Linked DNA regions of Xenopus tropicalis. The protein of the gene in region 1 interacts with the protein of each later gene in a biochemical or structural test. Links are inferred from orthologs where the notes say so. Each region holds a gene or a part of one and is shown on either strand. Other genes may lie near its edges. The genes, in order: map3k2 and smyd3.

Evidence for each region.
Region 2: the proteins of map3k2 (region 1) and smyd3 are reported together in a solved structure, tested with the Homo sapiens proteins (2 studies listed by BioGRID and IntAct, with this or other methods). The link is inferred for Xenopus tropicalis from reciprocal best matches to the Homo sapiens genes MAP3K2 and SMYD3.

What each region holds. Positions count from the first base shown.
Region 1 is NC_030685.2:86,477,279-86,481,832, reverse strand, and holds the start of map3k2 (mitogen-activated protein kinase kinase kinase 2), read right to left. Parts: upstream 2,999-4,554; 5' UTR 2,633-2,998; intron 1-2,632. UniProt on the Homo sapiens protein: Component of a protein kinase signal transduction cascade. Regulates the JNK and ERK5 pathways by phosphorylating and activating MAP2K5 and MAP2K7. Plays a role in caveolae kiss-and-run dynamics.
Region 2 is NC_030681.2:51,485,648-51,489,950, reverse strand, and holds the start of smyd3 (histone-lysine N-methyltransferase SMYD3), read right to left. Parts: upstream 3,077-4,303; 5' UTR 2,934-3,076; coding exon 2,892-2,933; intron 2,878-2,891; exon of another isoform or gene 2,820-2,877; intron 973-2,819; coding exon 797-972; intron 1-796. UniProt on the Homo sapiens protein: Histone methyltransferase. Specifically methylates 'Lys-4' of histone H3, inducing di- and tri-methylation, but not monomethylation. Also methylates 'Lys-5' of histone H4.

The DNA.
Region 1 (4,554 bases):
AACTCTCGGCGTGTTACAGAACGTCCCACCCAATAGGATTGTTCTGCCCCCAATAAGGGGTAATTATATCTTAGTTGGGATCAAGTACAGGTACTGTTTTATTATTACAGAGAAAATGGAGTCATTTAACCATGAAATAAACCCAATAGGGCTGTTCTGCCCCCAATAAGGGGTAATTATATCTTAGTTGGGATCAAGTACAGGTACTGTTTTATTATTACAGAGAAAAGGGAATCATTTAACCATGAAATAAACCCAATAGGGCTGTTCTGCCCCCAATAAGGGGTAATTATATCTTAGTTGGGATCAAGTACAGGTACTGTTTTATTATTACAGAGAAAAGGGAATCATTTAACCATGAAATAAACCCAATAGGGCTGTTCTGCCCCAATAAGGGGTAATTATATCTTAGTTGGGATCAAGTACAGGTACTGTTTTATTATTACAGAGAAAAGGGAATCATTTAACCATGAAATAAACCCAATAGGGCTGTTCTGCCCCCAATAAGGGGTAATTATATCTTAGTTGGGATCAAGTACAGGTACTGTTTTATTATTACAGAGAAAAGGAAATCACTTTTAAAATTCTGAATTTATTTGCTTATAATGGAGTCAATGGGAGATGGCCTTTCCGTAATTCAGAACGGAATTCATCTGGATAATGGGTTTCCGCATACAAGATCCCATATCTGTATTCCTTTACTTACAGGTGGTTACCAGCACCCTATCCAGGCTGATTTTAGAGGCCGTCTTAGTGTTCCTATTAGGGATGCACCAAATCCAGGATTCGGCCAAGATTCTGCCTTTTTATGCAGGATTCGGATATGGCCTGGTTGAACCAAATCCTTAAAATCATGTGCCTTTTGGCCACATAAACACAAAGTAAAACAAATTTAAGCAAGCACGACCCAGAAATAGTGTATTTGGTGCATCCCTAGTTCCTCTGCAGAGCAGTGACCATAGCACGGGGCCAAACAATTGCCCTTCCCAAACCATATCTGTTTGGACCTGTACAGGCTGCAACTGGAGAAGCTGGAAAATCTAGTTGCCTAAAAATGAGAGCAAGTTTAGTGACTTACTGCACAGCCCCTATCCGTCAATGCTTCTAGCCCCCCCACCAGAAACAAGCAGCTAATTTACACCACTGGATTGCATGACTTGCTGGATCAGCTCCCAGGAATCTCCCCCGTCCCTGACTGATCCCCTTAGGGCTGAGCTACACTGCGTGCAACAACACCAGATCCTGTCGGGCGCTACTAAATCTGATGAGTTTATGAGATCTTCCGGTCAATGTATCTCTGCAACAGCGACTATAAAGCCTTAGTACAGGTATGGGAGCCATTATCTGGAAACCCGTTATCCAGAAAGCTCAGAATTACGGAAGTGTCATCTCCTATAGACTCCATTATAAGCAAATAATTCTAATTTTTAAAAATGATTCCCTTTTCTCTGTAATAATAAAACAGTACCTGTACTTGATCCCAAATAAGATATAATTTCCCCTTATTGGGGGCAGAACAGCCCTATTGGGTTTATTTCATGGTTAAATGATTCCCTTTTCTCTGTAATAATAAAACAGTACCTGTACTTGATCCCAACTAAGATATAATTACCCCTTATTGGGGGCAGAACAGCCCTATTGGGTTTATTTAATGGTTAAATGATTCCCTTTTCTCAGTAATAATAAAACAGTACCTGTACTTGATCCCAACTAAGATATAATTACCCTTATTGGGGCAGAACAGCCCTATTGGGTTTATTTAATGGTTAAATGATTCCCTTTTCTCTGTAATAATAAAACAGTACCTGTACTTGATCCCAACTAAGATATAATTACCCCTTATTGGGGCAGAACAGCCCTATTGGGTTTATTTAATGGTTAAATGATTCCCTTTTCTCTGTAATAATAAAACAGTACCTGTACTTGATCCCAACTAAGATATAATTACCCCTTATTGGGGCAGAACAGCCCTATTGGGTTTATTTAATGGTTAAATGATTCCCTTTTCTCTGTAATAATAAAACAGTACCTGTACTTGATCCCAACTAAGATATAATTACCCCTTATTGGGGGCAGAACAGCCCTATTGGGTTTATTTCATGGTTAAATGATTCCCTTTTCTCTGTAATAATAAAACAGTACCTGTACTTGATCCCAACTAAGATATAATTACCCCTTATTGGGGGCAGAACAGCCCTATTGGGTTTATATTATATGTAAGTAGCTCCCCTATTCTGTATAATAAGAGAAAATACCATTCCAATCACCATACACTTTCTTCCCTCATTCTCTGTGGGTTTAATGTACTTGCCAAGGCAATTGCTTCTGACTGCTGCACTGCTGGCTGTGACTGCTGACACAATGTAGCAGATAGCAGCTGATTCCCATGGCAAACACAAATATTAGCCACACTTGCCCCCCCATGACACCCTCAGACATTGCTCCCCAGCCCCAATACATCATATAGCCCCCCTGTAATGCCCATAGCACCCCCCCTTTACAGTTGTCCCTCCCCCATAACAGCCCCCAATGAATTCCCCCCCCCTCAGAGTTCCATAAACACTAATAGCCCCCCAACACAACCCCCCCAAAGCCTGCAGCCCCCTTTAAAATGAATGTGTGGCCCTTATACCTGTCAGCTGAGCCGGGGGCCCGGTTGTACTTCCCAGAAGCCCTTGCAGCTCCGACTCCAGCAATCCCCCGCCCCCAGCCTGTTCCTCCCGGGGGGGGCGGGGGGTCACAGGCCCGGGGGCAGCGGCGGCAGTGTTATTCCGAACTGGGCCCGCTCTTCACAAAATGGCGGCCATCCCGGAACCCTCGGAACTTGCACAGGCCCCGTAACTGCTCCGCTTACGAAAAGGCAGCCGCGGCGTAAGGGTTAATTAATAAGGAGCGACGGAACCAAACCGAGCGTGTGAACCTGGGACTACGGGACCGAGTACGCGCACGTCACAGGGGGGAGGGGCTAGCGCCAGCAGAGACAAGCACGGAGGCGTCAATAAAGGGGAGGAGCACGGCTGTCATCGCCTAGAGACAAAACTTTCAGCTTATTGGCCCACAGCCTTGTCTGTCATTTCAACAGGGGATGGCTCAAGCACATGCGCAATTCGATTGGCTTGCGTAAACTCTCAACGACGGAATTCTGGGAGTTGTAGTTGTGAAGCTCACGGAGATGCGGAAGCTGAGCGTTCAGATTTAAAGTGATAGAGTTCCCTACTTGTGAGGGGGTTTTGCTCGTGTTTAATTTTCATAGAAATGTGGAATAAAAAAACACATTCGGTTGATAATGTATCACTTGTAGTATATCAGTGTCGCCTTATACCGCGTTAGACCGGGGTGGCCCTTCTCTTCCATTCCATGGAGTTTGTCTCATAAAGGTTTTATTCAAGGAAATAATGTCAAGTTGTTAATAGACAACATTAAGGGGTTCTGTGCCCCCCATATAAAGGCACAAGGCTGCAGGCTGAGTTATACAGGGAACTCTGAGTATCACTCATGTATTATAAGGGATAATGTACCCCCTACTGTAAATGATAAGGATATTAGCAGTCACTGAGGGGTTCTGTGCCCCCCATATAAAGGCACAAGGCTGCAGGCTGAGTTATACAGGGAACTCTGAGTATCACTCATGTATTATAAGGATAATGTACCCCCTACTGTAAATGATAAGGATATTAGCAGTCACTGAGGGGTTCTGTGCCCCCCATATAAAGGCACAAGGCTGCAGGCTGAGTTATACAGGGAACTCTGAGTATCACTCATGTATTATAAGGGATAATGTACCCCCTACTGTAAATGATAAGGCTATTAGCAGTCACTGAGGGGTTCTGTGCCCATATAAAGGCACAAGGCTGCAGGCTGAGTTATACAGGGAACTCTGAGTATCACTCATGTATTATAAGGGATAATGTACCCCCCTACTGTAAATGATAAGGATATTAGCAGTCACTGAGGGGTTCTGTGCCCCCCATATAAAGGCACAAGGCTGCAGGCTGAGTTATACAGGGAACTCTGAGTATCACTCATGTATTATAAGGGATAATGTACCCCCTACTGTAAATGATAAGGATATTAGCAGTCACTGAGGGGTTCTGTGCCCCCCATATAAAGGCACAAGGCTGCAGGCTGAGTTATACAGGGAACTCTGAGTATCACTCATGTATTATAAGGATAATGTACCCCCTACTGTAAATGATAAGGATATTAGCAGTCACTGAGGGGTTCTGTGCCCCCCATATAAAGGCACAAGGCTGCAGGCTGAGTTATACAGGGAACTCTGAGTATCACTCATGTATTATAAGGGATAATGTACCCCCTACTGTAAATGATAAGGATATTAGCAGTCACTGAGGGGTTCTGTGCCCATATAAAGGCACAAGGCTGCAGGCTGAGTTATACAGGGAACTCTGAGTATCACTCATGTATTATAAGGGATAATGTACCCCCTACTGTAAATGATAAGGCTATTAGCAGTCACTGAGGGGTTCTGTGCCCCCCATATAAAGGCACAGAACCCCCTTTAACTCTGGCAGGTATAAATACATACTGTACATA
Region 2 (4,303 bases), on another chromosome or scaffold:
TCTAACATAATAGCCAGAACTCTACTTGCTTTCAGCTCTCTAACCGTTTAGTTAGTCAGCGACCACACTGGACATAACTGTTAGTTTGTGAGCACACAGGTCATATTTAAAAGCAAACTAACTGAACAGTTATGTCCCATATGCCCCCTCCCCCTCAAGTGACTAATTGGTTACTGACTCCAAACAGCTTAAAGGAGGAAGTAGTGTTCTGCCTGTTATGTTAGACATCCTTTCACTTCAGCCTTTATAGATTACATTTTTGCCCAACTAATTATATAAGAAATATTTTGTAAATTGTGCAATCTATCTATTTTACCCAGGTTCTTTATTAGACTGAATTGTTCCTTTAAAGGCAATAATAATAATGCAAGTGTCTAGGTTATCATTTTTAAACTCTAGGGAACTGATACAGCTTCCATTATGTATGCAGCACTTAGGAAAAATCAGCTACTAAGGGTGACAGTGTCCCATGCTACAAACAGTACCACCCTTCCCTGTCTTTCATTCTTCACACTATCACTACAATTAGCAAGTTACCATTATACAATGATAAAAGCAGCCCTATCAAAAAGCAGCAGTTGATGCATAGAAGTGTTTTACCCCGTCATACCAGTGTCATTCACAAGACATGCAGATTGGCTGGAAGAATCATGTGTCAATATAAGAAAGCACAATCTGCGACACTGCCACTAGGTTATTGCAATTCTTGGTTTTTCTGATTGGGCACTTCTTTCTGCGAATCGAGTGATGCTGCTAAATAGGCAGAGGCTTAGAAAATCAGTGAAAGCTATTGTACCTGTGAAGACAGTGATCGCACGCAGTCTTTATCCGGCACACAGTATATACGTAGGGCTCAGCAATCATCACCGTTAATCCATGGCTCATATCCTTAAGTGCCCGAACTCCATTACCCTTCCCTGGGCTTTGGAACTTCTCCAGAATTCCCGACATCATGTTGTCAACTATTGCACACTGCAAATGAGATAAACAGCACTTGTGTGTCATTAGCTGCATGGAAAGCGTGGCAAATTGAGAGGTGTACACTAGCCTGCGCAGTGTCCCTGAGTTCAGACAAAAACTTTAGTTCTTTCCAGCAGAGCAAGAAACCTCTTCTGTAAATGCTGTAAGACCTCTTTTGCTCACCTTTCCCCAATCTCTGCGCTCTGAAATATTGCTGTAGCCTGTAGTCTCTATGCAATAATAGTAGACCCCAGATCAATGTATACTGAATGTGCTGATAGTAATAGCAGAGCCCCCACCGCTCTATGCAATAATAATAACAACAGACCCCAGACCTGTGGCTCCCCACTGCATGTGCTAATAGTAATAGCAGACCCCAGACCAGACCCCCTCTCTATGTACTGAAAGGAATAGCAGAGCCAAGACCTATGTCCCCACCCCCCACTCTATGCAATAATAGTCGACCCCAGACCCACTCATAGTAATAGTAGACCCCATATTTGTCGTCCCCTGCAGTGTATGCTGAATGTGTTGAAAGTAATAGCAAACCTCAGACCTGTGGCCCTCCTGCTCTATGTACTGATTGGATTAGCAGATCCTAGACGTATGGCCCCACAACGTATGCAATAGTAATAACAGACCCCAGACCTGTAGCTCCCCACTGAATGTGCTAATAGTTATAGCAGACCTCATACCTGTGGCCCCCCAATGTATGTAGTAATAATAATAAGAGCAGGCCCCAGACCTGTGACCTCCTCACTAAATAGTTGACCCCAGGCCTGTGGACCTCTAAAGTTTGTAATAATAGTAATAGCAGACCCCAGATCTGTGACCTCCCCCCCGCTTTATGCAATTATAGTAACAGCAGACCCCAGACCTGTGCTCTATGTAATAATAGTAGACCCCAGACCCCTGTGCCCCCCTCCCTAATGCATAATTGTAATGTACTGATTATGATAGCAGACCCCAGACCTGTGGCCCTCCGCTCTATGCAATAATAGTAATAGTCGATCCCAGAACTGTGGCACTGAATGAGCTAATAGTAGACCTGTGGCCCCCACTCTATGTACTATTGTGATTATTAGACCCCAGACCTGTTGCCCCCCCGCTTTATATACTGATAGGATTTGAAGAGCCCAGACCTGAGACACCCCCACGCTCTATGCAATCATAGTAACTGTTGACCAACAGCCTGTGGCCCCCTAACGTATGTAATAATAGTAACAGCAAACCCCAGACCTGAGGACCACCACTGAATGCGCTAACAGTAACAGCAGAACCCGAGTCCCGTGGCCCCCCGCTCTATGCAATAATAGTAATAGTAGACCCCAGATCTGTTGCTCCCCCAATGTATGCTAAATGTGCGGCCTGTAATAGCAGACCCCAGACCTGTGACCCCCTGCTCTATGTTGGATTAGCAGACCCCAGACCTGTGGCCCCCAATGTATGTAATAATAGTAATAGACCCCAGACCTGTGACCCCACCCTCCGCTCTATGCAATATTAGTAACAGCAGATCCCAGACCTGTGGCCCCGCCACTCTATTTACTGATAGGATTAGCAGACACCCAACCTGTGACTCTGGCTCTATGCAATAATAGTAACAGCAGACCCCAAACCCCTGGCCCCCACTGAATGTGCTAATAGTAACAGCAGATCCCAGACCTGTGGCCCCGCCACTCTATTTACTGATAGGATTAGCAGACCCCCAACCTGTGACCCCGGCTCTGTGCAATAATAACAGACCCCAAACCCGTGGCTCCCCAATATGTACTAATAGTAATAGCAAACCCCACACATGTGGCTCCCGCAGAATGTACTGATTGTAATTGCAATAACAGTAGCAGCAGACCCCAGACCTGCAGCCCCCTGCTCTGTGTACTGATAGGATTAGACTTCTTCAGCACTGCCGAATTCCTACAGTTACTTACAAGTAAAATACAGATGCTTCTCCGCGTTTCGAAGATTCTCATTGGCTGTGCTTGCTCACATGGCTAGGGAAAGGGGCTGGATTTCCCCATTGGCTGTGCTTGCTCACATGGCTAGGGAAAAAGGGGGCTGGATTTCTGCAGCAGCTGGTCTGGAACGGGGAAGTGTGGCCAGTGCTGGGCTGAGCTTTGCTGTGTGCTGTAGTCCCTGCAGGAATGAAGGGATGTACTGCTAGAGATAAGCAGTCTTTCATTATCTACTTTGTGTGCACTTTAACCCTTTACTCTTCAAACTCTGCCTTATATATTATCCCCCACTTACAATTTGGTGTATTTACATACACATGGTGGGGATCTGGCTGAGCCATAAAATATAGTTAAAGCAAAAGAAAAATGCAAGTGAAAAGCATATCTTGTAAATGAAGGAAAATCACATAACAAAAATACTGGAAGAAGAGAAAACAAAGGGGTAAGGAAAGGAAATAAAAGCAAAGACCTTGGGAAGAAAGGTATATAAGGTATATACTGTGGGAAATGATGTATAATCTGTTTATATAGTGCCAATATATTTAGCAGCTGTTATACAAAGTATAACAAAAATATGACTGTGGCCCTTTTCTCTAAGTCTTTTGTGTACCTAACAAACACTTTTTGGCTAGAAAGTGCTTAAAACACTAGTGCACTTGGTACATGTGATGCTGCCATTCCAACCATGGAAAAGGGGGGGGTTGTAATATGGGTGTGGTCAAAACATTTTGACACTCTCAGTGCGGCATATTCTTTTGTCCCGCTTTTAAATTTATTTATTTTTAAAGGTTTTTATTTTGTTAACAATACATTGAGTTATATAGTGTTATGACCACAGAGATAGTACATGACATTGAGAGAGTTAAATAGATTACCAATCGATGCAATATGGGCAGGCTTGGACAAGGCTTTGCAGCTGTTAGGGAGCCTATTTGATTCCTGTGTTTGGGATTATATAGTAGGGTTTGACTCAGGCTGAGCCTCTATCCAGGGTTCACGTACATTATCCTCTTTTTAATTTTGTTGGGAGGTATGTAGTAATAGTAGACCCCAGATCTGTATGCTGAATGTGCTGAAAGTAATAGTAGACCCCAGACTTGTGGCCACGCTGTATGCACTGCTCAAATAAAATAAATACCCATCACAGTACCACACAAGTGGTACCCCAAATAACAGACCTCAAATCAGCGAGGGACCACAAAGTGAAGGAGATGCGATGAGCAAAGGATTGCTGCAGCACTGAATCAAGCGATCTCTTCTAACCAGGAGGTGAAGGAGATGCAAATAAAGAATACCGCAGAATCGAATAGACCGATTCCTCTGAGCACCAGGAATAAAATGAGGAAGACCGGTAGCAAATAAAAGAATGTAGGAAAACCGAACAGAAC